Linked DNA regions of Mytilus edulis. Each later gene encodes a partner of the first gene's protein in a complex. Links are inferred from orthologs where the notes say so. Each region holds a gene or a part of one and is shown in the gene's direction. Other genes may lie near its edges. The genes, in order: GATOR2 complex protein MIOS-like, protein SEC13 homolog, GATOR1 complex protein NPRL2-like and GATOR complex protein Iml1-like.

The links.
Region 2: GATOR2 complex protein MIOS-like (region 1) and protein SEC13 homolog share a complex: the UniProt entries of both Drosophila melanogaster proteins name them as parts of the GATOR complex. The link is inferred for Mytilus edulis from reciprocal best matches to the Drosophila melanogaster genes mio and Sec13.
Region 3: GATOR2 complex protein MIOS-like (region 1) and GATOR1 complex protein NPRL2-like share a complex: the UniProt entries of both Drosophila melanogaster proteins name them as parts of the GATOR complex. The link is inferred for Mytilus edulis from reciprocal best matches to the Drosophila melanogaster genes mio and Nprl2.
Region 4: GATOR2 complex protein MIOS-like (region 1) and GATOR complex protein Iml1-like share a complex: the UniProt entries of both Drosophila melanogaster proteins name them as parts of the GATOR complex. The link is inferred for Mytilus edulis from reciprocal best matches to the Drosophila melanogaster genes mio and Iml1.

The regions. Positions count from the first base shown.
Region 1 is NC_092345.1:104,524,763-104,532,781, forward strand, and holds the start of GATOR2 complex protein MIOS-like, read left to right. Parts: upstream 1-4,138; 5' UTR 4,139-4,279; intron 4,280-7,667; coding exon of another isoform or gene 7,668-8,019. Other genes in the region: coiled-coil domain-containing protein 89-like, read right to left, coding at 3,759-3,890; uncharacterized protein, read right to left, coding at 7,668-8,019. UniProt on the Drosophila melanogaster protein: An essential component of the GATOR subcomplex GATOR2 which functions as an activator of the amino acid-sensing branch of the mTORC1 signaling pathway.
Region 2 is NC_092344.1:35,864,980-35,873,661, reverse strand, and holds the start of protein SEC13 homolog, read left to right. Parts: upstream 1-5,391; 5' UTR 5,392-5,536; coding exon 5,537-5,539; intron 5,540-6,693; coding exon 6,694-6,738; intron 6,739-7,331; coding exon 7,332-7,447; intron 7,448-8,682. Other genes in the region: serine-enriched protein-like, read right to left, coding at 1,459-1,509, 1,758-1,918, 2,124-2,323, 2,701-2,843. UniProt on the Drosophila melanogaster protein: Functions as a component of the nuclear pore complex (NPC) and the COPII coat. At the endoplasmic reticulum, SEC13 is involved in the biogenesis of COPII-coated vesicles.
Region 3 is NC_092344.1:56,140,260-56,148,429, reverse strand, and holds the start of GATOR1 complex protein NPRL2-like, read left to right. Parts: upstream 1-4,408; 5' UTR 4,409-4,510; coding exon 4,511-4,573; intron 4,574-8,170. UniProt on the Drosophila melanogaster protein: An essential component of the GATOR subcomplex GATOR1 which functions as an inhibitor of the amino acid-sensing branch of the TORC1 signaling pathway.
Region 4 is NC_092349.1:82,685,128-82,693,182, reverse strand, and holds the start of GATOR complex protein Iml1-like, read left to right. Parts: upstream 1-4,675; 5' UTR 4,676-4,713; coding exon 4,714-4,771; intron 4,772-7,300; coding exon 7,301-7,394; intron 7,395-7,993; coding exon 7,994-8,043; intron 8,044-8,055. Other genes in the region: large ribosomal subunit protein uL16m-like, read right to left, coding at 617-786, 2,478-2,537, 4,517-4,571. UniProt on the Drosophila melanogaster protein: An essential component of the GATOR subcomplex GATOR1 which functions as an inhibitor of the amino acid-sensing branch of the TORC1 signaling pathway.

The DNA.
Region 1 (8,019 bases):
CTTTGACATTTTCATACGTATGACGTCATGTTTAGAAATGACGTTAATGCGCCAAAATCATTACTGGAATTTCGTGGAATTTTAATTTATTTTGTTTTTGTCCTTTTTTCCGTTCTCTAATGTGTAAATTCTTTTTGTTATGCGTCAGAATCAGAATAAATGTTCTGTAGGGTTTTATTCAATTGTAATTGTTAACACAGCGAAATCCACAACCGGTTACACATAGGTTAGGATACATGTGGATTTACGTGGGAGGCATATTTAAACAGCCATTTGTGTACATCTTGGAGTCTGCGCTAAGTATAGATATATCGAGAATTTTATCACGGTGTTGTTTACAAAGCGAAAGAAGCACGTCATATTAGAATGTCAAATTTATCGGTCTAGGGCTGGGCAATACTCATAAAACAAGCAGTTTTGCCAACCCTGCTTAGGTTTCTGTAAATGTTAATGTCATAATAAAACATGTCTGTTATCTTACAATGCTACATATTTTTACCAAGGAAAAGGGATTGTTGTTTAAAAGATGTCAATAGTTCAATTTTCAGGTAAAGTGTCGCAGATTCCCAAATAGCATGAGTTCTATAAGGTTCTGTGGTAAAAAGATGTACCCTAACATGATTTGGAAAAAAATAACTTGGGAAGACTGTCATGGATCTTTGAAATTGATATTGTACAATGATACATTCAATGGACATCATAAAACAGCACATTTGTCAGTGGGTTCAATAATACCCTATTTTTATTCAAATTCCTGTTGAATTATTAGATGCTACAATGTATTTAAAATGTAATGTATATACCGGTAATCAAATTAATAATTTGATAATATCAATGTTTGAAAAAAGAAATGTCAGCCATGTAGTTTAGAGGAATAATAAATAACTGAAGAAGGCCAATGGCCGAAACGTCTGAACAATTGGTTTATTTATACAATTATAATATCAAAATAGTTTTCATGAATAAATATTTGCGAATTTTTCTAATGAATTTTTTTTTGGTGATAAATGTTTTGGATGACGACATCATTTGTTGTTCATAGGGTGCAAACGTGTGAGGTGGTAACATGTATGGGGGCGAATGCTAAATTGGAGCGAATTTGATTTAGGGAAATGGACCCAGATTCCTGTCACATAGTGATCATGGTGATAAGTCCAAATACCCCCTCCACAACACATACATGTCAGATTAGGACTCAGATCAGGAGGTTTTTAATCGACATAAATTTTGTCGTAAATGTAACCAAATGTAACCGTAAGATGTAGAAATTGTTGTTTAAAGTGTTTTTTTTTCAATTTTTCATCAAAAAGTAATATGTTTATAGTACCCTTGTTGCCTTTCTATTTGAATGATATCACATTATCAAAAACAGATATTGAAAAGAATCTGTTTGTTTTGTTTTGTTTTTGATAAATGATTGTTCACTGCTTGCAAATAAGTCATTATGACGGGAAGCACTAATGACAGGACGATTGCCCCCAGGACAGTTGACCGGACGACATATAAATAGTTATAACTTTTTTGTTATTCGGTAGATTTGTTTAAAATTTGTAGACCTTAAAGATATTAAAATATATATTATGAAAATCAAACAAAATAAGTGAAAAAAATATTTTTGAGCAAATGAAGTTGACCGGACAGTATTCACACTCGTCGTTATACGCTATACATTATATATTCAACTGGTCGGCAACAAGTGTTAATACATCAATACATCTTTTGTTTTACAATATTTGTCAACAAAATTCCTGAATCTGTGAGAATAATAAATATTGGATACGAAAATATAAACTTCAAAGTAAAAAAAATGTTTTTCTCCATAAAAAGTTGACCGGACATTATTCACATTCTCTAATGTACATGTACGCGTTAATTATATTGAACTGATAAAAAAAAAGTGTTATATCTTATTTGTTTTACAATATTTTTACACGAAACTAAGAAATCTACGAGATCACAATAAATACTTGATATTAAAATATAAATTTTATATTACATAAAAATGTTTTTCTTCAAAAAAAAGTTGACCGGACGGAATTCACATTCGTCATACATGTATATATGCTTTAAATGTATTGAAATGATCGACACAAATATAAAGTTGATCCTGTTAATATATTTAAAACCAGACACATAAATTACAACTATAGACTCCATTAGATTTTTGAATCTCTTGTATCATATGTCTCTGTTAAATTACATCGGCGAATATGACTCAGTCTGGTCAACTTTATTTTGAAGAAAAATATATTTTTTTCAAGAAAGTTTATATTTTCATATCATATAATTATTGATGTCGCAGATTTCTCATTTTCATGACTTAAATCAGCTGCTTAAATATTGTTTATCCTTAATTTTTTTTATATTAACATACATGTATAATCAACGTGTACATCAAGGAATGTGAAGACCGTCCGGTTAATTTTTTTGGCAGAATATCATGAAGTTTATATTTTCGTATAATATATTTATAAATCTCATAGATTCCTGAATTTCATAGACGAATATTGTAAAGCAATAGAGATATTAACACTTGTGTTGATCATTTCAATATATTTAAAGCATATATCGGCAAATGTGAATACCATTTCGTCAAATTTTTTAGAAGAAAAACTTTTTTTTTTACTATAAATTTATATTTTCGTATAATTTATTTATAAATTTCACAGATTCCTGAATTTCTTGGACAAATATTATTGTAAAACAAAAGAGATATTAACACTTGTTGCCCACCAGTTGAATATATGTATAGCATTTAAAGGCAAGTGTGAATACCATCTGGTCAACTATATTTGCTCAAAAATATTTTTTTTCACTTATTTTGTTTGATTTTCATAAAATATATTTTAATAGTATAAGGTCTACAAATATTAAACAAATCTACTGAATAACAAAACAGTTATGACTATATATATGTCGTCCGGTCAACCGTCCTGTCATGATCCGGGCAGTCATCCTGTCATTAGTGCAACCCCATTATGACCTTTTCTTTGTATATAGATTTGTATTCATGTCTCCATCTCTTTATCATTTGGTAACTGTCATGACTGTATAGACACCCGGATGAAAACAGTAGCTCCATTTAAAAGTTTATCACTATCATTACATACAAACAGATATTTTACCAAAGGAGAAGGTCCGGTAAGGACCGATTTTGGCCTCAAATTTCAGGTTCATCTGACGAATGATTTTGACCACTTTTTAAACACTTAAGTGTCTATTTTATTTGATTCATTTGTTTTTGTAAAAGATTTTAACTGATTTAATCATAAAAAAACGCACCGATTCAAGCTGAAATATGAAAAATCTACCAAATATGCCGAAAAATGTCACTTTTCAGATGGTTTTTGTCAAAAATGAAAGTGGCCGCATCCGTGTTCATCCTCAACCTTTGTATATGTTATGTATTATCATAAAATACAACTTACATTTTAATATTAAGGATGAACATGAACATGATGAATGCGGCCACTTTCGTTTTACACGAAAAGCGTCTAAAATTCAACTAAAATGCTAGAATTGTGAAGATTTCAGTAATTTAGCATGACTTTGTGGTGCTAGTACCCGATATATTTTCATTGTATTGTCAAAAACGGCCCATGTTTATGTAGCAGAAGCATTCTTCTGTCCAATAAATTACTAAAAGTTTACATTTGAACAATTTTGTAAAACTGCTATATTTTGGGGCCAAAAAGGGGTCTTACTGGACCTACTCCTTTAAACACTACACTTTCATTCATTGTTTTACTTTTTTTCACCTTATTGCTGTCGGAAACCATTTCTCTGATTTCTTTAGGATTCCTTGTGTTTGATGCCATGTCTTGTCCTAGTAAAATACTAGAAAAATTCTCATATAGAAAGGATGTTTGGTGAGCAAGAGATGATTCCATAATTAAAGTTAAGCAACATATTCCACTTTTCTGTTAAAAACAAGTACGAAATGAAAACGGCGAAACGGCTACCACAGAAACATGACGCCGGAAATGCCAGAATTTTTTTACGACAAACAGTTACGATATGATGAATGATAATATTGTAAAAAATTATGTTGTTGCAGCAGGATATACAAAAAAATACTATATTTTACATAAACAATTAAATCGTGTTATTGTTTTTTTTTAAGTTCACCAAAATAAATATTACGACACTGCATGGGAGGTTACTCCATCTGCTTTCGTTTTCGGAAATAGAAAGTCAGAGATTTTTTGGGGTCAAAACTAAAAACTGGGTACAATAGGGATCAATAGAGTAAAAGTGGGACCAATATTGACAGCCCCAGGTAAAAATCACAAACTCAAAATATAAGCAGAACAAAATGAAATATTTACAGAAGAATATATTTTATTCATATGATTATGAAAACTTACACTTTACAGTAATTATAGGCTAAAAAAGATTAAAATCAATCAAATAACACTTATTAAGCAATACTTTATTGACAATGACTGCACGTATCTGCATGCTTGGGACATGTAGACAAATAGGCCTTCGTAGGCTACGCCTATCCGCATTTGATTTTATGATAAACTGTCATATGATCCAGAATGAAACGTGAATGATACACGAAAATTATCAGTTGTTTTTAACTGTATTAGTAATTAGTGTGACGAAAAAGTTTAGTATGAATAGAATAGAATAGAATAGAATAGAATATCTTTTATTTCCATAAGAGGTACCCTCAAGGGGCATAGTGCATATACATTCATGACAATATATAGTTACAAACAATTACAAATACAATAAAGCAAAACAACAAAACAGTATGCTTTAAAAAGTTAGACATTTTAAATATTACTTACAGTATCCCAGTGTTATATTATAAATGTTTACTCAAGGCAGGTGTTTTGATAAGAAATAGCCAAGTTGTTTTAAAATATTAATAGACTCACAGTTTAATAGCCAAATAAATTTATTGACCATATCCAAGGAGTAAAATTTTTTACATTCTTTAAATATCAGATCAAATAACATGTCTCTATCCTTAGAGTATACAGGACATTCTATAAGAAAATGAAGTTCATCTTCCACTTTATTCAAATTGCATTTATCACAAATTCTTTGATGAACTTCTAATTTGGAATATCTCCCAGTTTCAATTTTAAGTCTATGAGATGAAATCCTGAATTTTGTGATAGCTTTTCTCAAATCAAAATTTTTCAAGATATTTAAATAATTTTCTTTACAAAATGATGTTTTAAACTGACAATATGTTCTTAGTTTTCCTTGGCTATTTTGGCTATAAGCATTTTCCCAAGATTTGACATAGGATACTTTTAAACAATTAAGTAAACATTTTCTGAATTTGTATTTACTAAAATTAATGGAGTTACTAGGCAGGTCAATAATTTTACATAAGTGTCTGACACTGCTATACCAACTATTGTGATTTTTATCATCTAAATCTTTAGAGGTTTGTAAGGCTTTATATAATAAAGAGTCCTCAGGCATATTTTCAATTCTAAAATAATAATTCAGTAGATTTTTCACAATACTAATATAAATAGGAAATCTACCTAGTTCAGAGAGTACAGCAAAATTGCTGCTCTTTCTGTTTACACCCAAAATAAATTTTGTTATTTTCATGTGTAATTTATCTGGTTCAAGATCTGAATAAATTTTATCTAAGACTATATCATTTCTAAATTTACTACTCTTTGGGTTAAATGTACCCCAAATTTCAGAGGAATATAAAGAAATAGGTTTGATCATGTGATCAAATAGATGTAGACTGGTAGTAATTTTTGGATGTGAACGAATAACATCTTTGCATAATTTATAATAGCCTTTTAGACTCTTTTTGTACAATTCCTGTCTTGCATGAGAGAAGACTCCTGAAGCCGAAAATATAAGGCCTAAATACTTGTAGTGCTGTACACATTCCAGTTCAACTTGCTGAAGAGTAAATTTTTCATTGATAAGTCTACCTTGCTTATTAAATACTAAAATTTTTGTTTTATTGGTGTTTATGTTTAAGCACCAGTCAGAGCAAAACTTATCAACATTTTTTAACTTAGATTGAAGACCATATGATGTGGTAGAGAGCAAAACAATATCATCAGCATACATTAAACAATTAATATTAGTATCACCCAAAATCAGATCATCATCAACATTATCAATATATGATGGAAAGTCATTTATAAAAATTTTGAAAAGATTAGGGCTTAGGTTATCACCTTGTCGAACCCCTAATTTAACTCTAAAAGAGTCAGTTAAAATTTTCCCAGCTTTGACACAAGTTGAGCTAACATTGTACATGTTCTTTATAATGTTGTAAAAATTTCCTCCTAATCCCATCTGTAATAGTTTATATTTAATACCACTATGTATGACTGAATCAAACGCCTTTTTAAAATCTATAAAACATGCATACAATTTTTTACCTGTGGAAAGTACCGAGTCAATCAGATTTTTAAGCAAAAACATATGATCAGATGTTCTGGACTTTTTAACAAAGCCAATTTGAAACTCAGTAATTAGACTGTTTTGTAATAAATATTTGTCAAGTCTATCATTTAAGATTGTATTAAAAAGTTTACCAATTGCACATGTAATTGAGATGCCTCTGTAGTTTGAGGGATCAGTTGGGTCCCCTGACTTAAAAAGGGGTAGAGTGTATCCTTCAGCCCAGCATTCGGGATATTTTCCTGTGTTAAGACATAAATTAAATAATTTTCTATAACATGGAACTAAACTATTGGCACTTGCCTTTAGCATTTCATTAGTTATAAAATCTAAGCCACAAGCTTTATTGTTTTTCAGCTGGGACTTGAACTAAAGTGCGTATCTGTGTGTGTGTGCTGTGTTGTTGGGTATATAAGTTTCAGGTCGTGCCTTTCACTTGTAAATGGACGAGATATGCCAAGTATACTCTTTAACAGGGTTGCCCTTGAAATCTACTGGTAGTGTGATTAAGGGAATCCTGGTCACATTTATGAATAAATAAATGGATCCTGGTGCAGTCTGAATGAAGTCTTGTAGTGAACATAAATAAGAAGGCGAATAAAAGTTCAATTCTGTGCTATTAAAATCACACGACTTTAACAAAGTTTCAAGTATAACACAATGTACATCTAACTTCAGGCTCAACAATACAGGTCTCCTCTTTACTATATAAACTTACTGTCCTCTGTTATGTATTACTAAGTATAACATTGAGGTAGAAGGCATCTGTTTAGATTAGCATTTTATTCTACACTAAAATAATCAAGCAAGTTACATATTATATATCGCGACAACTGTGGTAAGTATAACGGTATAGGCGGTGCCATATGGTTTTCATCACTTTAGAGATTACAGTTCATTTGATAACGATTCGTTGTAACTTTAATAGTTTGTATTGTCAGTTTCAATTAGACATAACATTTCCTCCCTTCTAATTTTCGAATTCCATAGTAAAGTTATAGTATACAAATGATAAGGTCATTGACTCGGTCATTGATAAAAATCTGTTGTATAAAGCACGTGTGGAAAGAATGAATGAAAGAAAATAATTACTGTCTATGTGTAAATAAAAACGTTAACTACAAAAAAACTCTAATATCATGCATTCAAAATATTTATCCCTAGTGATTGCCATAGAAAAACATTTATTTTTCTCGCGCACACAATCACACATAACAGGTTGCAAAGGGAATTATTATTACCCTTACGCACTACAACCATTATTACAAATTTAATTTGGTAACCGGTTTTCTGGTTCTCAACGGATATCTTCTCTGAATTGGTTCTGACAAAGGTTGTTCACTGTCTTGATGTTTCGGTTGGAGATCTTGTGCCGGTTGCTCAGTTGGTTCATCCGGAATTATCTCTATTTCAACTGTTTTGTCATTTTTAATTTCTTCTCCCTGTTTATCGTTAAAGTCTGAGTTTCGTATCTGGTCTGCATGACGTTTCCAGATACTATTGGGCGAAACTTCTACCTGGTAATTTAACGGTCCTTCACGTTTGGTTATAAGTCCACTTGTCCATTTATTTGGTCCACGGTAGTCGCGTACAGCTACTGTTTCTCCCTCGGTA
Region 2 (8,682 bases), on another chromosome or scaffold:
TTTTTCTCATACCATATGCAATAGGTCTACTATATTTGTTGTATGGAATGATTGTTAAGTGTACATGTCTAGCGGGCAAATGTCATGTGACCTTGACCTCATTTTCATGGTTCAGTGGTCAAAGTTAAGTTTTTGAGTTTTGGTCTTTTTATCTAATGCTATATGCCATAGGTCAACTATATTTGGTGTATGGAAATATTTTATGATCTTTATGTCAGTCGGGCAGGTTTTATTTAACCGTGACCTCATTTTCACGGTTCATTGCACAGTGTTAAGTTTTTGTGTTTTGGTCTATTTTTCTTAAACTATAAGTAATGTGTCAACTATATATGTTGTATAGAAGCATTGTTAGCTGTACCTGTCTGCCTGGCATGGTTCATCTGACCTGGACCTCTTTTTCAAGGTTCATTGGTCTTTGTTTAGTTATCTTGGTTAATGTTAAGTTTATGTGACAGTTGTAATAAAGCTTAGCTTTATACTTAGGACTATCAACATAATATCAATGATTAGTATAGAAGGCGAGACATTTCAGCGTGTGCACTCTTGTTTAAATAATGGACACACATGTTGATGTCGTTGGGTTGCTTTCTCATTGACGTATAACAAGATATTTACTTATTTGTAAAACACAAATCAGCTGTTTACTCCTGCAGCCTTATTTTACTGTTACAGCCGATTCCATTGAGTGTGTAGTCAAAGGTAATATCTTTTGTTAGCTTGCTTGTTAGCCTAAACGTGAGGTCATTGTTTTGTAAGGTATGCTACCCTCATTTCGAAGTAGTCTAGTCCTACATACAGATAGATTGGTAAATGTTGGACTAGTCTACTCTTAACGGAGGTTAGTTTACCTAACATAACAATTACTTCACGGTTAAGCAAGCTAACCAAATTTTTTGACTTTACCTAAGCAAACCAAATGTATTGCCTTTGCCTACACTCTCTTTAAAATCGGCTGTAAGCCTATTTTGGTTTCAACAATTAAGTTCCCTGTGCACGGAAATAGTAACAACCCCGGATGTTTTATCAATTTTTGTTTGTTTGCGATGGACGTATTCGTACACCGAAAACATGAATTTCTGGAAAACGAAATTAGATTAGCAATGCTACTGAAATTTAGCAAAATTATGTTTCTAATGCGTAAGTTTCACGACAAATTTGATATGCCAACAATGCGAGTCAGGCACGGCGAAAAGTACAACAATAAAGGAGTTCAATAAAGTAGTTCAGGCCATTGGCAACTATAAAGAAATCAAAAGCAGTAAACGTTTATTTTTATAAGCACTATGAATACATCATGTATAAACATTTCTATAGTTGTATTTTCAATCATATATAGTTATCTGTATAATTCATACTAGAATGCAAAGTATAGCACTAAAATTGATAATTCTATAAATTCAAACTTATGTCTCTTTGCTGGTACCGCGATCTTGTTCAGTGCTACGGGAATTCAATCTCTTAAAAAACAGATGAAGATGTTAACGATGCCTTTGTTGCAGTTCTCAAAATCTGAAAAAAAAACAAAAACACGTGAAAATGGCTTGTAAATATTGTTGGAGAATGCTTGATACTTAGACTGTTTTTTTTGGTTTTTTTTCAGTTTCTTTTTATCTTTAACCGATACACTTATATGCATCCATTAATTACTAAAATGTTTTTCTTTTTTTCTTTACCTCCCCCCCCCCTTTTTTCCCCCTACATGCACTTACATTACACAGAATCAATCATAAGTTTTTACAATAAAATTTAAATTTTACCTTAATCCTAAGTTTCTGTGCAGCTTTGTGGTCGCCATAAAAGATCGTTTCTTTCATCAATACGGTAGAAAAAGATTGCACTGACAGGCATCGGTCTATGAATTCCCAGCATGAATTCCGCAGGTCGGGAATATCAAACTCCGTAGCCAAACAAAGTAGCCCTAAAATGAGATCAGTAGCGATTAGCATTTCAAAACATTTTTAATGTTATTTCAGATTACTAGTTAGAACTGTTTAATTTTTGTCTTGATACAAAAAAAAAAGTGTGAAAAAAAGGAAAACACTTTACACTTTATTTGAGAAAAGCCTCCCCCTTTCTTCTATCAATCGATCGATGTTTATAGCGAGTTCACAACTTATGCTTACCAGTAACTGTTGATGGCTCTATTTCTACTGTTCCACAATGGACAAACAACAAAAATGTACGGAATATATCAGCATCATAATTATCTATAGTCATAGTCAATTTGTTGCTCTGGTCTGGTTGGATGTGCGTCGTTATCTTCGTTTTCTTTCTCTGTTTCAATGCTTCTTTTGAGTATTTCAAAAACATAACGAAAAATAACCTAGAAATGGAAATTAAGATTTAAAATTTATTCCCAGAAAACTATTATACTAAGAATACATGGTTTATTATAGCTGCAAAGTAGTTCGGTTTAGAATATATTCCATTGTTTAGAAGACTCACTTCAAGCGAAACTCGTTGTTTTTCTTTCAACTTTCTATAAAACAGATGGCATTTAAAATTACCTAAAATCAAAGACGCACTCAATTCATTATCATAATGACCTGTTATATTTCTTGGACAATTTAAAAAAAAAAACCAAAAAACCGATATGATATAATTCGTCCAAATTTGAGACTGTATTGAGAAAATGCATATAAACTATTTACATATGTACAAATGTATTGGAGATCAACATCTATTAATTTAGACAATTACCTGCTTCGTGTGCTTAAAATAGCCTTCAGTCCATAGACGGGAACTCTTTGTGGGCCTACGATAAACATAACATCGCATAAATCTGGCATCGATAAAATATATCGAATGTTATCGATCAATGTATGCACATTGGTTACTTTCATCGAATCGGCAATATCGTTATCATTATGTATGTCGTCATCCTCATATGAGTAATCATTAAACGGAATCGATTCAGCAGATGAAATGTCCGATTTATCAGATAATGGGACTATTTGTAATCTGTTGGAGCAGTTTCTTTTTGTATCTTGATCAGAGAAGTACTCTGGTGAATCATATCCAGATGAAAAGTCTAAAAATACAAAATGATTAAAAATTTTAAAGATATTCCAAGAGTGTTTCAAAACAGTTGTTTTTGGTTAACTACTGCTTGTTTTTAATATAAAAAAAAAGAAGATGTGGTACATGATTGCCAATGTGACAATTCTCCACAAGGGACCAAATGACACAGAAATTGAAAATATCAAGATATAATTTCCTGTATATGAATAACTTTTTAGACATGAAAATACAAAACGAGAAGAAAAAGACTTTCAGTAATGGTGATAGTTTTTCTATGAAGAATTTACTTTAATATATGTTTTTCAAGTTTTCTTATTAACACTAGCTTTACGATTAGAATGTTCAAAGACTCGACGAACGTTTAACAGATATTTTAAATTGTGAAAATACAAATTATAACACACTTACCTTCATTTTCACTATCTTGGGATAATAAATTGGCTTTTTCCTCTACCATAGTTTGACATTTAGTTGAACTAGTAAACAATGCCATCATGTATGTCTTGTAAGCTTTGGTTGTTTAAATGATTTGAAACCTAGGCTTGGGATATTTATACGCTCATTTCTGATTAAGAAATTTTAAAATCCCAAAGTTCCAAAGTTGTGACATTCCGAAAATTGGTCTGTCAGTTTCATAAATATTGTTGACGTGGACATGATCTTTTTCTTACAATTTAACTAAACGGTAGATTTCCGTTGACAAGTTGACGAGCTGTCTTTTGGCTTGGAGTGATCAGAATGTCATTTTATGATTATTCTATCGTTAATTACCCAACACCTCATTAGAGCAATTATAACTTTTTTTGTTTTTCACTAAACGCGTAAATGGATTCAGATTCAGATTCAATATTTTATTTGAGTCTCACCACTTGTAAGACATATAATACAATCATCATAATATATACATTGAATAAGACAAAAATTTTATAAATTAAAATACAAGTGCCATTCTATAAAGAATTATGAGAGACTATAGAAATCAATATAAATTATAATTATATATTTATCATGTCTATAAAAACATTTTTGTTATGTAAAACCATACAACTACAATTAGCATGTCTATAAAAAATTTCAAGTTTATAAAAACATAACCATGCATCAATCAAGCACCAAGCATATAAAAAACTATTTTTTCTACTTAAATTGTTCTGAGACTACTATAACATTATAGTAGTCTCAGAATTGTTAAAGCAGGTCTTGGCAACCACATCAAAACAATCAGTATTTTTAAAAAGATATATATCACCATCAGATTAAATATTAAAATCACCATTACTTCTTTTAACTTCATAAACTAAAATTTCATGTAAATCTGCATATAAAGCACATGTTTCTCATCTTCAATTTTATCATTGCACACAAAGAAAACTCTTTCATTTACAGTTTTATTTTCATAGCCACCTGTTACTATTCGCAATGGGGGCAACGCCACACCTACATTTAGAAATTGCACTTCTGTATCGTATTGAAATGTTCTTCCTCAAATACATCTCTGTTTCAAAAACATTTTTAAACAATTTATAAGTGCGTAATTTTTTTCCAACATTTTGTGACAATATTCTATTATGCCAATTTATCTTAATTTTCAAATAAAAAATCTTCTAACTATGTAATTAAATAACATTTTTATGCAACACATTATCTAAATTAGTGTATAAATCTACATTACATTCTCTAAATTTTGTCCTAATTCTATAAATGGAGTACATATTTAAATTCATAATTGATTTATGTAGAAATGGGCAGTATTCTTATACCTGGATAAAGATGAAGTAAAAGGTGGTTCATCGGTCTAAATACTATAAAAAAAAAAACATTTTCTCATATTTTATTTCAAAATTCTGTCTTATATTTTTTTTCATTCGCATCAAAGATTTATGTCATCATTGATGAAGAATGCATATAATCAAAGATTTGTATAGTTACTATAGATATACCAGAGACATATATATATGTCTCTGGATATACAAATCCTTGATATAATTATCCAATATTGCTCGACTTAATTGCAGAATGAAAAATAGCATGGTTCACCCAGGGACTTTCTCAATACCTGATGAACCATACTCTTATTTTATTTTTTAAGAGAAAAAAAATGGTAAAATATATTTTTTGGTTCCTAAACTAAAGTATGAGAAAATTGTATAGCTATGAAGAAATAAATACCGATGATGGCGTTATCTCCCTTAACAGTTTTTTGCTGACATTTTTTGTTTGCACAATAAGTTAAAAAGAAATAGATAAATGGGCAGAAAAAGAAATAGATAAATGGGCAGAAATAGAAAATAATGACCCGAGGACTTATTTATTTAAAAACATGCTATGAATTTTATCCGGAATACGCCACTGTTGAAAAAGGTTCACCCATCGGTTGAAGGGGGGATAACTTTGCAGTTTTACCGGAAGTAAATTTTGCCACGTTCGTGTTGACATGTAAACTTAAGCCTGGCACATTCTGAGGCATTTAAAATAGACAAAACACGCTAATACTTTACTTCAGGACAAACCCACAATGGTAGGTTACAGGTGAAAATATTGCTAACTATACTGCTTGTATACAAAGACTAACACAAAATATATCTGTTAGTGTTTAGTGTTATGAGACCGGGAACTTATAAGTCTTTATATATAATTTAAATATAGTATTTTTTAGTATCATCAATTGTGTTTTAGTTAATTCGTTTATGATATAACAACAGTGAGACACTTTTTCATTCTCAATTACAAGTCTACTCAATGACTACTGGACGTTAGTTTTCTCGTAGAATTGTTTTACATTGTCTTATCGGGGCCTTTTAGAATCCGGGTCCGTTCGCCCTGATTCATGTTCGTCCGAGAACCTGTTCGCCCTGATACCTGTTCGCTCAGGGTCCATTCGCCCTGATTATTATTTTTTTCTAATTGTTGTCTAGTCGCATTATTTTAAGTGTTTGAACAAATTATGTTAAAGTTTGTTGAAAAATTGACAGAATATTTATATTGCAGCAATCAATTTATCATTTTCCCTTTGATTTGCAGAGTAGAATACTGGAATACAATGTATTTATCTTTATTGATATTTGTTAACAAAATAATTGTAATCAGTCAATCACGAAAGTATGCAGTATAAATAAATGAACTAGTCTTGTAAATCCGTTTCATAATTTACAGTTCGTACATCATTAGTTTTATTAATTTCAAGCTGAATATTTTATCAAAATAAAACGTTTGTTTTTATTATTAATCCATCAGAAGACAAGGTTCACAATAATCAGTTATCCGTATTATTTTGTAATTGAACAATTAATGATCAAAAACAAGCCATAAACTTTTAAATATTTCAATGTTTCCATAAATTTCAAGAATATACATGATATATATACCATAGAAATATCTGAATAAGTTTATTCAATTTCCAATGCCCTGAATATTAATATTTTTATAGTAGGGCGAACAGACTCTGGGCGAACGAACGGACCTAGGGCGAACGGTCCCGATACCGGCCTTTTATAGCCGACTATGGGGTATGGGCTTTGCTCATTGTTGAAGGCCGTACGGTGACCTATAGTTGTTAATGTCTGTGTCATTTTGGTCTTTTGTGGATAGTTGTCTCATTGGCAATCATACCACATCTTCTTTTTTATATAACTTGTTTGCTAAGATAATCATAATTTGTTTTAACTATTTCAGGTTTCCGTCATCAATTCTATAGATACAGCTCATGAAGATATGATTGTAAGTAATAATACAAAATTTTAAGAACATGTCATTGGATCAGAAATGCTAGGTTTTTTTTAATGCATTTACATAAACATGATAAATGCAGAAAATGAATAAAGACACTTGTCAAACAAAGTTTACTAACTTATCATGTGAGCACTGCAATACACCTTAGCACTTATCCCGGCTGACCCAGCCGCTTTAACTTTTGACGCAATTGTACATGTAGTCAAAACAATTTAAAATTAACCATGTTAACTCGAGCAAAATACTGACAACCAAAATATATTTACTGGTACTAGCAGTGTATTTATTGTGATACAATGTACCTTAAAAAATAAACATATATAATTCAGCTAATATGTCAAACTAGAAATATTTCAGATTTGAGCACATCATCAAAGTTGCAAGGTCTTCTAGAAAGGGCTTAACACAAAACAAATGTAATCGCTGTTAAATTATGGTCTTCTATTAAATAATGAATGCATAGGGCCCTCGTCTAGCATCAAATTCTGGAACTCTTTAGTATACATGTAATATACTAGTAAATAACTTCTTTATCATTCAAATTATGTTAAATTATTGTAGAAAACAATTATTTATTTCAGCATGATGCTCAGCTTGACTACTATGGAACAAAACTAGCTACCTGCTCATCAGACAAAACCATTAAAATATTTGATGTTAAAGATGGCCAACAGACACTTATAAATGAATTACAAGGGTAAGAATACATACATATCACATGAATATACATTTTTAGTTCATACATGTAGGTGTTTTTTATTTGAGTGTGTATTAATAAGATAAAAATAAAGAGATGTGGTATGTTTGCCACTGCAATGAAACAATTATCCATTTGAAGCCAAATGAGGATACAGTTGCTCCTTTTCTTTGGGGTACCCTCCTTTTTGAATATAAATCTCCAAAATTAAGAAATTAACTCCTTTTTTAAATCTAAATTCTAGGAGCAAAAACAAAGGTGTTTACGTGTATGGATTGTCAATATTTTACACAGATTTTTTAATAAAATTACTCAATACGGATTCGTCATGAAAAAGTACAGATTTTCTAACAATCGGTGAAAAAATCATAGTTGCTTTCGTTTACGGCGATCAGTGTCTGAAAGGCACTTTTTTGACTGGGAATAACCGCTCTTTAAAGGGCAAAAATGATAGCGATCAAGTATATTTCATGGACGGCATGAATCAGGATGCCAGCGTTTGGAATTATGAAAATTCACCACAGTATCGCACATTGTGAAAAGTTTTTTCTTGTGTTAGAAAAAAACGAACTGAACAAAGATCCTGCGAACTCTGAACTATGAATTGAATATGATCTACAATAGTACCTTGTTAAACCCTTAATCTGTTGGCAACTTTGTATTGAAAGTAACTTGCTAATATTTATATTCATTCAATGGCAATTAAATTTCTTGTCATAAGTATTGAAATCTTGTCCCTATTGAAATTATTATTTTGAGGTTTTGTATTTTTAATGTGTTGTACAACAGTACAAGATTAAATAATTAATGAAATTTTTAATATTTGCATGTTTTGACTTATTCCAAACTTTAACTCAACTTTTTGTAAAATCATGCAAATTTTAGGTTATAATCTTTGTTGCAAAAATATCTGAATAAGACTGCAGATACTGTCAGAATGCAGGAAATTGCACCTAGTTTTTCAAAAGTTTCTTGGGGGGGGGGGGGGGCATGCCCCTAAACCCCCCTAGATGGTTCATGCCGCTTCACAGCACTCATGAAGGGTATTACTGACAGCATTTCAAACTACTGACAATTCTACTGATAGACATCATGGTGGGTAAACAGGTCTGCAAAACTGTTGACCTTATCGGGGCCTTTTATAGCTGACTATGTGGTATGGGCTTTGCTCATTGTTGAAGGTCGTACGGTGACCTATAGTTGTTAATGTCTGTGTCCTTTTGGTCTTTTGTGGA
Region 3 (8,170 bases), on another chromosome or scaffold:
ACAACTTCATTCACTTGTTAAATTTTGAAAAATGACCAGAGCAACTGAATTAATTTTAAAGACTATCGAGGTAGTGACCATTTCCTAAATAATAAGAGTGACATTTTTCTCGTGCGGGGGAGTCAAGATTTCCAAATAATTTTTTGTTTGTTAATTGCATCTGGCATTTTTTTTTTTAAAAAGAACAAATTAGCTTATTCAAAATTTGAAACCCTTCAATTTGAAAAGTGTTTTGTATGAAATTTTGTAGTTTGGTTAGGCATTGCACAAAAAGGGTGGGCTTTATATAAAAAAGTTTCACCCTGCAACATGCTCATGTGCTTAGGTCAGATATTGGTGTGTATGTAAGTTATTTGTTAGTCTGTTCATTTTATTCACAAATCTTTTAGACTTTGGATGATTTACAAGTTCATGTATTGTATAAACATCAGTCTATAGTTGAAGACCTGTAGATGTCTTTGGTTATTTATTTTCATTGGGTAGCTGCCTTGTTGATTTATACCCTACATCCCCCTTTTTTTTATAATGATGCATAATATCTAACCAATAAAAAGAATACTCACCAAGTTTGATTATAGATGAGGTTCTTACCATAATATTTGGTAACCCCAGATATACTTAACAGCTGGCTTACTGTTCACATTGCTTACTCTTCAAGGTCATCAATCTCTCTTCTGCTCTCTGCTCAGTTGTTGGCTCCTCTAAAACATCATTTCTTTTTAATAAATATGAAAGAATGGAACTTAAAACTCTATATTATTTATCATTCTTTATAAATCTTGGTTGGTTGGCCAGGTCACTGGACACATTTTTAGGCCAGGTGAGCTAAAAAAGTGTACTTAACTTATATTACCTTATTTATAACTTATAATGATAAATTTCATTGATAAAATGTATGTCTGTATAAATGACTTGTATATCAATAGCAACAAAAAGTATATTTTCATACATTTAATTTTTTTTTAAAACTTATTCAAACTTTTGAGTGAAAATGATAAATTTTGTGCAAATTGATTATGTATAAGATGAAGAACAGCAATAAAAGCACTGTTCCTTTCTTTTGTTCGTTTATTTATGCTGTCTATGTACTGATTTTGTATTCTGGATGGATATTCCTGTGTGCATATTATTTGTTTACCTATTAAACTGTAGCACTAGGTCTATCAAAGATGAATACCGTTGTATACTTTAATGTCCAAATCATAATAGTAGTCAAATCTGAGAAAAGTTTATCAAGAAGAATTTTGGGAGAAATTCATCATCAAAAAACTAATCCAGAAGCTTTCGGTCTCAGACATTTATGAATTTTTTTTTTAGGTATATTTAGTTTAGATCATCACAGAAACAATCTAACAATCTAATTGTTAATATACATATAGTACAATATATTATCAGATAAACCTGCTAGTAATCCGGATGGTAAAAAAAAAAATGATTAAGTTTTGTAATAAACTATTTGATTATACCTGTATTCAAGGCTTGGTCTACTGTATCAAGAGAAAATCAACATGTTTGTGAAATGAAGTTGATATACTGTCTTGCTTTCCTAGATGCATCTGAATACCAATTTAGATTTTTTAGATAACTAAGTTTGTAGTGTCAAAGTACTGAAAAGAAACATTTAATATTAAAATTATTCCAGAAAATATGTTGCAAACCAAAAAGTATGTGTGTTTACTGTACCCATACCTTCCCTAAAGTTTTGTTGGGAAATTTTTTGATTTAGCAATGTTGCTCCCATAGACTCAATATTTTTGAGTCTATTGACCCTACAATACAAGGTTTTCAACATAGACGTTTTCAGTAAGTTTTGCCAACCAGTTCAAAAACTTTACCCAAATTTGATTGGTTAAACTGTTAATTGTTCCCAAGACAGATACATGAATGTGAGCTCTATTCTTTTTGTTATATTTGCCACTGGAAATTATGCAACCAACAATCAATCATGAATCTTAAATGGTTAAAGTAAAAGCTCTATGCTGTAACTCAAGTAAAGCTTGTATATATAGACATGCACAGACATTAAGAAGATGTTTAACATATCTAGAAGTAAATCAAACAAAACAGATCACATTAAAGAAATTTATGATAAATAAATGATACCTTAAATCTTCTATAACTTTGAACTCATCTGATGTCCCCAAAATTTTTAAGGAAAAACACAGGAGTTTGTCCAAGTAAAGATCAATTTAAACTAAAATAAAGCCCAATTCAAACCTGTTGATCACATGATAATTTATACACTCAAATCTACTCACTTCACACTTGAGTAACCAGCCGTGTAGCCAAATATTTTCACCTGACAAAAGTATTGCAAAAAAATATGTAACTGATTTGCTCAGATAACAATGAATTGCCCTCAAGGGAATTCTTTTTAACTTATTAAAATTTAAAGAACAGTAAAATCTGAAGCATGAGGCCGCCAAAGAACCTGCATTTAAATTTTTAAGTTTGAGCACGAAAACTGATTAAACTAAAAAGTGGACCAAGGACATGAAGAATCAAGTTCTTCTACCTTTTGAAATGGCTTAATCATATTTACACTTCAACCCCAGGCTGAATTTTCATGTTAACTGTAAAAAAAATATAAGTCCATTTATGACTTTACAAGCTTTGTTTGATATGGAAAGGTATATAGCCACGCTTTAGGCCCAATTTTATTTTCTCGGCTTTCAAGTTCTATACATATGAATCGTATTGCAGAGAAATAAAAAAAAAAAAGACACAGTTTTACGCTTCCCAAATTTGAAAATTTGAAAGAGATGATTGTTTATTCTCTCGTAAGTTTTTCACCACTTAACCTCATCTAAACGAACAACCCCAGTCATCGATTTTTTTTATACTTTGTGGTATTGTTGATAATTATAGTATCTGACTATCAATGAAATTTTATCTGAGGAAATGTAAATAGATGATTTCCAACCATGAATAGCGTCTCGAATCGACAACGTAGAAAACGTATAAAAATCGTCCAGTGGACAAAATTGCAAGACATTTAATTTCTTTGAAAACGAAGTCGTTTTGAATGCGCAAAGTATCAAAAAGTATGTAGCTGACTGTTTTGTAGAGTTAATAAAAAGTTCAATTACGGAAAAGCACTATTTAGGATGCAAGGATTCTAAAGTTTCAATAAATAACGTCGCAATTAAATGACACTTTATTTGTAAAAAGCGGCGAATTCCGACATTGGACATCTTGCAGAGGCGGATTTAGAGGGGGGGCCCAGGGGGCCCGGCCCCCCCCCTTTTTTGGGAAAAAAATTGGTTGCTTATAAAGGGAATCATTGAAGCGTGACTGGAGCGGGCCCCCTCTTAGGTCAGTCAGTGGGCCCCCACTTATGAAAATTTCTGGATCCGCCACTGATTCATTCGAATTTTCGCGGATATAACACTGTTTTGAAGAACACAAAACAAACCTGCTAAAGTTATTATTCGTACAGTCTGTTTACGTCTGACACGCATATTTTTGACGTTTTGTCAATATGTTGTCATCATTTTAGACTAAAATTATGATAAAACAATTTATAGTTTTTTTCCGGAATAGTCATGATTTATGCCTATCTAGTCTATAGCTATCAATTTTATATAACTTAACTGTTATGATTTTACAGCGTGAAAAGCTGTTTATTAGTGTGGACTGGTTGATTACACCGCGGTATTGACGCAATAACGTGCTTTACGTCTGACTGAGTCATTGCGCACCCAGCGATAAACGGAAACTACGAAGAAATTACTTAACAGATACCAAGTTTATATAGAACAATGGCCATTTAATTACGTTCATTCCAACAGAGATATCCTATGTAAGCGAAGATCGACTTTGAAAGAAAATATCGTTTTCGGGGCATAGCCTGCGGCAAATAGAAGCAGAATTGTCACAGTTTTATATGCAAATTTGGTTGTATTTTTGTTGTGGATCATTTTCATTTTCTCTTTAGATAAACATAAATTTAATATCATTTCAAATTTGCTATATGTTTTAACCAAAATTTTAAATAGTAAAAAAAGTATACAGCAGAGGCGGATTTAGGGGGGGGGGGGCAGGGGGCCCGCCCCCCCCCCCCTTTTTGGGAAAAAATTTGGTTGCTTATATAGGGAATCACTGAAGCGTGACTGGAGCGGGCCCCCTCTTAGGTCAGTCAGTGGGCCAATTTCTGGATCCGCCACTGTACAGTATACATGTTCACATCAAGAGAAAACAAATACAACATCGGACTTGATTTCTTGCTACATAATAGATGGAGGAGCACGCCCGAGTCACCTTAAGTTTATTAGAAGTTATGTTTAAAAAATGCCTAAATAGGATTCTACATGTACCAATACAGACAATACAGACAGGCCACTACAGACATATCTGGTTCCGTTCCCGGGTATTGATGGTCATATTTTGGTAAAACCTCAATAATCAGCTGATATTTTTCGATTACCTCCCTTCTTGCAGACAACTTTTTAGTTTATTTACATTTGTATTTACTTATATTCCCCTGCATTTACAGATTAAATTTGAAACAATGATAAAGGGAATGTGCCTTGCAGAATTCCATCCAACTGCTGGTCCTAAGATCAAATATCAAGTAAATGCACATACTGTAAATGTCTTTGCCCTGTGAAAATTGTGAGATACACATAAAATTTGTATCATGATGCTTTAAGGTTCATCATAACCTTTTGGCTAAAATGGCCGTATTTACACCCCAAATTTTACTCTGAGTACAGACTAACCTATACACCTGCAACAGTTTTAAGGGATGGCAGGAACTAGATATATAAATTTTAAATGCATTTTATGTTTCAGAAAATTATAAACTTATCTAGATTTTGCTATCCATTTTTTTTCGTTCCTGCAGAAGGTGCAAAAATTAACTAAGTAGTGAAAACGATTGAGAAGCTCCCCTCATATAATCAATGTTGTGAGTAGTATTGATTTAAATGGACAATAGATGGACAATAGACACCTGTAAACAATAGGTTATTTAACAGGTTTAAACTGTGTAACTGAGTGGACCGTATCAAATGAAACTCGGGTGTTTGTTTATTTTGCTATCTTCTGCAGACTGGAAAAAAATGAACATCAAAATCCAGGTAAGTTTTTAATTTTCTGAAACGTAGATTTCATATAACTTTTATATATCTAGTTCCTGCCATGCCTTAAAACTTTCCTGGATGTACCAGTTTGTCTGTACTCATAGTAATTTTGGAGGTGTAAACACGGCCATATTTTTCAATTCCTTATGATGAACCTTAATGTTCATCATAACCTTTTGGCTAAAATGGCCGTATTTACACCCCAAATTTTTCTCTGAGTACAGACAAACTGGTACATCCAGGAAAGTTTTAAGGCATGGCAGGAACTAGATATATAAAAATATGAAGTCTACGTTTCAGAAAATTAAAAACTTACCTGGATTTTGATGTTCATTTTTTTCCAGTCTGCAGAAGATAGCAAAATAAACAAACACCCAAGTTTCATTTGATACGGTCCACTCAGTTACACAGTTTAAACCTGTTAAATAACCTATTGTTTACAGGTGTCTATTGTCCATCTATTGTCCATTTAAATCAATACTACTCACAACATTGATTATATGAGGGGAGCTTCTCAATCGTTTTCACTACTTAGTTAATTTTTGCACCTTCTGCAGGAACGAAAAAAAATGGATAGCAAAACCTAGAAAAGTTTATAATTTTCTGAAACATAAAATGCATTTAAAATTTATATATCTAGTTCCTGCCATCCCTTAAAACTGTTGCAGGTGTATAGGTTAGTCTGTACTCAGAGTAAAATTTGGGGTGTAAATACGGCCATTTTAGCCAAAAGGTTATGATGAACCTTAATGGTCGCCTATCCAGGCTCTTGTTTCTATCCATGGGGAGGTCGCCTATCCAGGCACTTGTTTCTATCCATGGGAAGGTCGACTATCCATATATATGCACAGTCGACCTTCCCATGGATAGAACAGTAGAAACAAGTGCCTGTGATGTTTATTCAGAGAAAGGAGGGGGCGGGGGTTGGACCTTTATCGAGACTCTGAGACAGGGTGTTTTCACAAGTTTTTAAGCTGGCATTAATACTTTCGGGATCCAAGAATTCTTTTTTCTAATTTTGGGATGTCGGGATTAAAATTTCTTTAAATTTAGGACCTTAGCCATCTTGTATCTGTTTCTGTATCTGTATTTTACACAGTGCAGGATCCAATCGCGGATATACATGTATGCGCACTAGAAGGAGAGCGGGTTGGTTAGTCCAACCGTTGGAGGGCAGCCGTGAAACACTCAACTGTTTTTTGACATGCAGTTTTCTCGTCCAGATGGTTCCACTCTACTATTGTTTTTGGAAAAAAAGAGTTCTTTCGAATGTCTGTTTTGCAGTCTATTAACTTGTATGAACTGCTATTTCTAGTTTCTTGTCTTTCCACGATGTTTGAGTATTGAAAGTCACTAAAGTTTTTTGCCTTGACTTGGCGTTTATTTCTTGTCTTTTGCAGGTAATAAGTTGGATCAATCGCTCAACCACTTTGTAGAACATAGTCAGCCTCTGATGTTTCCTTCGTTCTTGAAGAGGTGGTAGTTTTGGCTTAGAAAGCATATTTGTGACGCACCTGGTGTCTGGATTTATAATCGTGCAGGATGAAACGTGCTCCTCTTTTCTGTATGCTTTCTATTTTTAGCTAACCTGGCCCAAAGGGCCAAGTGAGCTTTTCCCATCACTTGGTGTCCGTCGTCCATCGCTGTTAACTTTTACAAAAATCTTCTCCTCTGAAACTACTAGGCCAAACTTGGCCACAATCATCACTAGGGTATCTAGTTTAAAAAATGTGTGTGGTGACCTGGCCAACAAACCAAGATGGCCACCATGGCTAAAAATAGAACATGCGGGTAAAATGAAGTTTTTGGCTTATAACTCTGAAACCAAAGCAAGTAGATCAAATCTTACAAAGTTAAATTGTTTATCAAGTCAATATCTATCTGCCCTGAAATTTTCAGATGAATCAGACAACTGGTTGTTGGGTTGCTGCCCCTGAATTGGTAATTTTTAAAGAAATTTTTCTGTTTTTGGTTATTATCTTGAATACTATTATAGATAGAGATAAACTGTAAACAGCAATAATGTTCAGCAAAGTAAGATCTAAAAACCAAAATGGTCAGTTGACCCCTTTAGGAGTTATTGCCCTGTATAGTCAATTTTTAACAATTTTTCGTAAATTTTTGTTATCTTTTACAAAAATCTTCTCGTCTGAAACAATAATTTTTAACAACTTTCACTAATTTAAACATTCCAGCAGCACCTGCATATGGGGTATATATCTCCCAATTGATACGATATTCCTGTGCTTGCATTTCCTATCATGATTTTCTTGATAGAGGGTTACTGCTCACAAGGAAGCTATTAAACCAAGAGTTCCAAATGGTGAAGTTGAAATCATCCCTTCGTAAATTTTACGGACGCCATCACTAGTTGGTTGACCGTTATGGAATAACCGTTTCACAAATGATATAGGATATGTTCCTTACGTCGTAACTACAATCCCCTTCCCTTTCATGAATGTGACTTACCGAATTAGACTATTTACCGGATTTGTAATCACATAAGCAACATGACAGGTGCCACATGTGGAGCAGGATCTGCTTACCCTTCCGGAGCAACTGAGATCACCCCTAGTTTTTGGTGGGGTTCGTGTTGTTTATTCTTTAGTTTTCTATGTTGTGTCATGTGTACTATTGTTTTTCTGTTTTTCTTTTTCATTTTTAGCCATGGCGTTGTCAGTTTGTTTTAGATTTATGAGTTTGACTGTCCCTTTGGTATCTTTCGTCTCTCTTTTAATAAATTTTATGTAAATTTTTCTAAAGGGCAAAGTTTATTATAGATAGAGAAAATTGTAAGTTCCAAGAATGTTCAGTAAAGTTAGATCTACAAACACATCGCCATCACCAAAACACAATTTTTCATGAATCCATCTGTGTCCTTTGTTTGATATGCACATAGACAAAGGTGAGTGACACAGTTTCTATTTCCCTGATGGTGAATGGGTCCCAGATGACAGCACTATATTCTTGTACGGATCTTACCATGGCTACGTAGGCAAGTTTTTTGGCACTGGCGCAGGTTTCTTCTCAGGAACCCTAGTGTACAGCTTGCCTTGCTTGTTGTTTTCCCTTGTACGTAATGCCCC
Region 4 (8,055 bases), on another chromosome or scaffold:
GGTTGAGATCTCGTAAACATGTTTAACCCCGCCACAATTTTGCGCCTGTCCCAAGTCAGGAGCCTCTGGCCTTTGTTAGTCTTTTATTATTTTTAATTTTAGTTTTTGTGTACAATTTGGAGTTTAGTATGGCATTCATTATCACTGAACTAGTATATATATTTGATTAGGGGCCAGCTGAAGGACGCCTCCGAGTGCGGGAATTTCCCGCTGCATTGAAGACCTGTTGGTGACCTTCTGCTGTTGTCTGCTCTATGGTTGAGTTGTTGTCTCTTTGACACATTCCCCATTTCCATTCTCAATTCTATTTACATATTCACAGGGTAAATACTGTTCCTATGTATTTATTTCATGTATCATGGAATATTACCTGGTATTACCTTGTAGTAATAGTCAATTATCCCGTTTTATAACTGAACACCAAACAGTTTTCTGTTGGTAAGTTAAACTCAGTTTTTACCATGAAATGCAGAGTAGCATTTTCTTTTTCTTGGTAATTTCTTTTAAAATGTTCTATCTGTAATGGTTTTTATATTTCAAAGTTCACCTTACTATGACTTTGGGAGGTGTATTTTTTTGTTTAATTTATTACATATATCTGTAACTTTTTAAATACCTGTATTCCAAATTGTCCGTAGATAAGTTTGTTATTGACCATCTCTGGCCCTCTCATATGGTCCAACATTTTAGACATGGTAGGAGGTTTAGCAGAAGGAATTGGGTTCTGTGGTACTTTGTCAAACTGTGACAGTTTACTCCTTAGTCTATTTACAGGTAGTTCTAAATCTGTAATATAACAAGATTCATATCATAATGTGTAATATTAATTTTCACACAGACTACATTAAAGTCTAACAAAAGGCTGTTAGAGCAACAGCAAACCAGATTTTTTTTATTGATTATTTGTGTTCTGGTATTTTTCAAGGACCACAACTCCTGATCATAAAAAGTAAAAGTGACAATCGTCAATACTGAACTTGACCTTCATTTTGTCATCAGTAAAAATGTATTAAAATTTAAAAAGCTTTGGTTGAATGGTTTATGAGTAAATGCATGGACACTGTTTGGCAGCCTGCCATATGGATACCCCTGTGCCCTCTCGCAGAACATCCACAAGTCAATAACTGATTTTTCCTTCTAAAATCAGGATAAAATGTATTGTTACCAGCAAGTTATAATTAAGTGAGCGTGCTTAATCATCTAGATAAAATTCTTATTTCTGAATTTAAATGCAGTTATATAACTTTTTAGATTTGCAGACAGTGATTGAAATTGTTCATTAAGGTGGCTCTTAAATGTAACTGAAGGTAGATACAACATATTAGGATAACAGGCAGTGATTGAACAGGGTGAAATCTGACAATGCTTTAGATGGTAGAATAAATCTTAATCATGAATAAAATGATGTTTGGGGTACATGTCAAAAAGACATCAACCTTATATAAAAAAAATAATAAATAGACATCTAAAAAGGAATCAAACAGTCTTTAAAAGTAGATCATATCTATAAAGCAATATGTCAAGATACAAATCATCTTAGTCACTCTATACAAGTTGTGAATAACTGTCAGAAACAAAACTCAACTCAAATTCATGAGTTAACATTTTTTTTTTAAAAGTCACAAATGTCATAAAAAAGTCTTAATTTGTGACAGCAACAGGAAACATTAATGTGGTAGAATTATACTTATTGTTTTAGATCTTGATCCTTTCAAACTAAGCAATACATGTGTAGTACCATCAATATTATAAATAGTAACTTCTTCTCTGATTACATTCTTCTGTATCATAACTTATACTGTGTGTATATATTTGATTCAATACTTTTTCTTAATGCTTTTTATAAAACATACTAATTCTTTGTTTGCAGTGAATTTAAAATGTTTCCTTGACATTGTAACTGTACCATGTTTACTCTTATCATGTTTATGATTTTTTAAGATACATGTACTAATAAATTATAAAACAAGAATGTGTCCAAAGTACACAGACGCCCCACTTGCACTATCCTTTTTCATGTTCCATAGACCGTGAAATTGGGTAAATATCTAATTTGGCATTAAAATAAGAAATATTATGCTATAGGTAACATGTGTACTAAGTTTCAAGTTGATTGAACTTCAATTTCATCAAAAACTACATTGACCAAAAACTTTAACCTGAAACTCCCACTTTAATTTTCTATGTTCAGTGGACCATGAAATTGGGGTCAAAAGTCTAATTTGGCATTAAAATTAGAAAGATCTTATCATAAGCAACAAGTGTACTAAGTTTCAAGTTGATTGGACTTCAGCTTCATCAAAAACTACCTTCACCAAAAACTTAAACCTGGAGCAGGACAAACAAACGAACGGAGCCACAGACCAGAAAACATAATGCCCCTCTACTATCGTAGGTGGGGCATAAAAACATTTTTAAATGAGCCAAACACTGAAATCTCAAATACAGCAGAAGGTTTAATTATCAATCAAAATTACCTTCTTCCTTTTCTGGCATTTTCAGCTTCATGTATGTGGCAACCTGAGTCACTTCTGACCCTGAAAAATAATCAAATTATCTAATTAGCTACATGTCAGAATATAACACAAAATCCCCTTTTTTATTACTTCAAATCATCTTTTTATTGTACAGGAAAGTCGAAGTGAGTTTTCCAACTAACAATGACTAAAGATACTTTAAAAGTATCATCAAACATGTCAAATATCAGACCAATATCTTCGAATTCAAGCAAAGAAAAAATTGTGGAAAAACTTATTTGCCTGAATAACAGATGGACAGACAGACAGGTAGACAGATAGAGCACAAACATGTAGTTTAAAGGTAATTTATATAATCAGAAACCGATCTAAAATAGAGAATTGAAATGGGAAATATGTCAATGAGACAACTACAACTGAACCACCAATGGGTCTTCAACGCACAAGAAAATCCTACACCCAGAGGCAGGCTTCAGCTGGCCCCTTAATAACAATGTGTACTACATGTAGTTCAGTGAAAATGTACATCAATACTTAACTCCAAAACATCATGCTACCCAAATTGTACCGATCAGAGTTTTGTGGTAAAAAGTATTCTGCATAAGTTGCATAACATTTGGTTGAGTCAAACTTAAGTTTAAGAACTGAAAAAATATCAAGGATGGAAAAAAATATTCATCATATTTTCATTTTATTTATAAAGGGCATAACTCTAGAATGGTTATATTAAAGTGACACTACTTAAATTCACACTTGATCTGTATTGTAATAAGCATTGTGTGTAAGTTTCATAACATTTATTTAGGCAAACTAATATTAGAGAACGGCAACTAAAAAATCAGCAATATTTCCACTTATAAACATGATAAAGGACCACTAGCTACGAGATACATTAAAAATCTAACACATTATTTCTTTTGCTCAATCATTAATGAAATGCAAATAGAGAAATAATAATTCACTTTTAGCAGCCAATATGGTTCAATTTTGTGAAAATAAGCTAAAAAACATTGATTATGATTCAATCACTTGCAAGTGAATAATTCTACCTCATTCATGTCATTGAATCTGTATTCATGTGAACTTCAATTTAACCCCTTAGCTTGAGATGGATAACATGTGAATTATATGTGTAAAGTTATTTAAAGGAAATTAATGTCAACATTGAAAGTGAAACAAAGGTAAATCATTTGATTGACTTATTTGATCCAAACACAATCATTCTTATACAGGTAAAAAAAAGGATAAACATGAATTTTTAATCTATAACATGAAGTAAATAGACCTAGAAAAATCCAACAGCACGAGTTAGCTCCATCTATCTATATTTATATTTATGTTTACATCGCATGTATGGTCATCAGATGACTTTAGAGGTCAACTCTATAGTTAATTGGATGGTGTATGGACTAAACTACACACAAAACGAAGCTATGTTTTTTCATGCCAGTGTCCTGTTTATTGTTTATTTTAGACTTTTAATGCATGTAGTTTTGATAAATGTTTTTATACATTGTTATAAATCAAATATGAGAATTGTGTTCATTTCGGTGAAAATGAATTTGACAGTTTGTGCCCCTTTAAGTGCACATGATGTCACCAAAATCCAAACTTGATCTGTGTTATGTGGTAATAAGCATTATGTATAAGTTTCATCACATTTAGTTGAGGCAAACGTTAGTTAGAGAACCGGAAACCAACAATTTTTTTTCAGCTTATCGAGAATGAAAGTAGAATGAAAAAGATATCAGCTGATCATTCTTTATACTAAAAATAAAATATATTGTAAAGGTTACTATACAAATCTTGAATACAGAATGCACCCTAAAATAAAGTGGAAGGAAAAGCTGAACATATGTTAGGTTCCGAATTGTCTAACCGTTGGCAAAAATTATGCCGAAATGACTTTTATACATAGGTGCCGATTTGATCCCTAATCATATCTTTCTAAGAGATTTTTGCTACCGTGAGAACAACTGAAATAATCACATATATCGAAAATGATAAAAAATTGCTACTTATTCAATAATTTCAATTACATTTTGTTAGCAAAAGTAAATGTTTTCTGCAAAGATTTTTTACAAGACAGTTCATTTTTTGTTCTTCGATGTAGGCTATTCTCTTTATTTTCCCTTTACGCAAATTCGTAAATGTAAGCGTTTTGCAGACCATGCATTTCGTATGTTTCTCTCGGACTTTATCCATCGCCGTACGAAAAAACCGCCACCAAAATGAAATGGAGAATGAAAAGATAAAAAAGCTTCATGTCCATAAAAGAAATCCACAAGATGCATGTAAATGACATTTCGTGATTTTTGTTTAAATTCATTTCAAAATCTTTTTACAAACCATGCATTCGTTACAACTGTACTGTGTACATGAGTAATTTAATTTGCAATGTAGCACTGTCTCTTCTGAAGTTCTGTCAAATTATGACAAATATTTTGAAATTATTCATGACATCTTGGAAGGCTGTTATTTTCTGCAAAAAAAAAGAGGGTGGCAAAGGGTTATTTTTGTGCAACGTTTTCGGTCTTTTTCTTTCTTTTTTCGAGTTTGGTTAGAAGTGCGTGATGTATGAGAGCAAGACTTAATAGTTAAGATAGTAATTTAGTCATGGCTAATCTATCTACATCTACATAATACTAATAAATATACAAGTTGTATTGCTGTAGTGACGTAACATAATACATACCTGTCAACCTCTGAAAATGAAAAGTCAGGTCATGACCTGCATTGAGAAAAAAAATCTCAGGTCATAACGCGTACGACATTTTGCGGGCTCAATTGAAGAAGAAAAATATGTTTACATATAATTTATATAGTCAATATGTATATGAAACAGTTAGAACATGTATACAAGTTTATTTCAGACTATTGTTATATTCCATAGTAGCAGACTTGGCATTCTTTAAAAGAACTGCACTTGGTTTCAGTTCATAGCAATGCAAATGTGTATTCATTTTACAAGAAAGAAGAGCACACAGTGTATCCTTATTAAGATCAGCCCTAAACTCTGTAGCTATTTTCTTTACTAAAGAAAATGCCCTCTCACTGTCTGCAATGCTGTTTGGCAAAACCAGTAATGTTTTAGCAAGTTTTGACAAAACAAAAAATTTTGGCTTGTTAATAAAAATGTCATGCAACTTGGACATTTCTCCCCAAAATGTACCAATGTCAGTTTCAGGGGAAGTGCAAAGTGGAAGTTCATCTAATGGGGTCAACTGATAGTCACTGAACTCATCTTGTAGCTGTGTTGTCTCTTCATATCGTTACGTAGCTCAGGTAAACAGTCCTACATTTTGACTTTTGGTTACATTGAAAAAGACCGATAAAACCGAAGGTCGTATTACTTCTAAATACCGGAAACAATTCCGGTCAGAAATCTGGGTGAAACGGGTAATGTTAGAAATTCCCGGGACCCGCCGGGTAAAGAAAAACTCCCGGGTGAGAGGTGAAAATAACGGGTGTCACCCGCAAAAAACGGGTGAGTTGACAGGTATGATAATACTGAATATCCTAAAGGTTTTTATGGTGTTTTCCCAGAATAATCTAAGATATCCTACTGTAGTGTATAATCGGTCGTCTTGTTGGTTCATTCAGACTTTGTTATTGTACTTATTACACGGGAAAACTCCGCATTGACTCCACTACGCTAATACCAACTCTCAAAATTAGTGCAGAATACATTTGTTCTACTCTTCTAAATAAAAGAACATTTCTAAAGATATGTCGTCCTGAATATGCATGAAATATTTGCCACTGGACGTCAAGCAACCAACAATCAATCAATCTAGAGATATGTTTTCATAGTTATTCAAAAGTATTTTATAAAAATTGCCAACTTGCCAATTTTCTAATGGCTGTTTAAAACCTGACTTCCAAATTCCTAAAACATTTCAGAACTTCACAAATTCCACTTCTGACCTCTATAGCTTTGTGTACATTCCATTAAGCGTCATCAATGAAGGGGATAGGACCTTTATCAGTATTCCGGGAACAGGTGTTTTTAAGCTCGGAATTTCAGGATTGACCCTTATGGGATCCGGGAATTCTTTTTTTCCAATTTCGGGATGCAGGTATTTAGATCTTTTTAAATTCAGGAATATCGTGTTTTAAAGCCCAGGTTTTCAAGATCAGGACCCCTCCTACACCCCCCCCCCTCACTCAATCTTAGTGGCAGACAAAACAGGTCATGCAAATCATATTTCTAAGAATTTCAAAATGACAAGCACCTTACGTTTGAGGGATTTTCCCACTACAAAAAAACATCCACAATAAAAATAAAACTTTGGGAAAAAACAATGTTCATAGATATAGGAAGATGTGGTATGAGTGCCAATGAGACAACTTCCAAGTAACAATTTTATAAAAGTAAACCATGACAAGTCTCAATTTACAGGCTCTTGAACTGAATTTTAATGTGTGTATTGTTATGCGTTTACTTTTCTACATTGGCAAGATGTATAGGGGGTGGGTTGCGATCTCATAAACATGTTTAACCACGCACATTTTTGCACCTGTCCAAAGTCGGGAGCCTCTGGCCTTTGTTAGTCTTGTATTATTTTTAATTTTAGTTTCTTGTGTACAATTATAGAGTTTAGTATGGTGTTCATTATCACTGAAATAGTATATATATTTGTTTAGGGGCCAGCTGAAGGACGCCTCCGTGTGCAGGAATTTCTCGCTGCATTGAAGACCTGTTAGTGATCTTCAGCTGTCGTCTGTTCTATGATCTTTTATGGTTGGGTTGTTGTCTCTTTGACACGTTTCCCATTTCCATTCCCAATTTTATTTATAAACTTTTTTGTTTGCTATTTTAGTTTTAGGAAATGATATTTTGATCAATCCTAAAGACTTTCCTGACGTTGTTCTCCGAGATATTCTAGAGATTCATCATTCTGATAGTGATAATAGGTAAGTGTCATCAAGTAAGGGAGATAACCTAACAATTCTTTGTAATAACTAATATATATATATAGTTATCATGAACTCAGTCGTGGTATCAGTGATGATAATTGTTACGGTAATTGTATTGCTGTTTTATTATTTCGTTCCACTGTGTAAACCCCTGTATGTATATGTTCATTTGTAATTGGCATTTGATGATAGTCTAATGTCTGGACTAAGTGGACTTTTTTTCAATGTTTTTTACTTCCTTACTCACTTTACATGTTTTAATTCATGTACATGTATAGGCATTTAGCTTAATACATGTAAAATGATTTTTGAAATAAGAAGTTATTGAATTTTGACAAATGAGGTTTATAGGTTATGAAAGTAATTCTGGAAAAAAGAGTTGATTTATCATGTTTATGAAATCATTAATTAATTTTAACTGAAAATATTTATAAGTATGATGAAAGAAACAAGAGGAAGATGTTGAGTAAACATAAAAGAGAAACAACCCAACAACATCAGAAGGGGTCTGTTAGATATTAGATTTTGTTTGCCTATATTTATTATTCAAGAATTAAAACATTGTAATTTAATGTATGCTCTTATTCTAATTTTAGTCGATTACTGCTACAGGTGACAACAGTGACTGGTGAATTTCAACAGAAAGGTACACCATTTT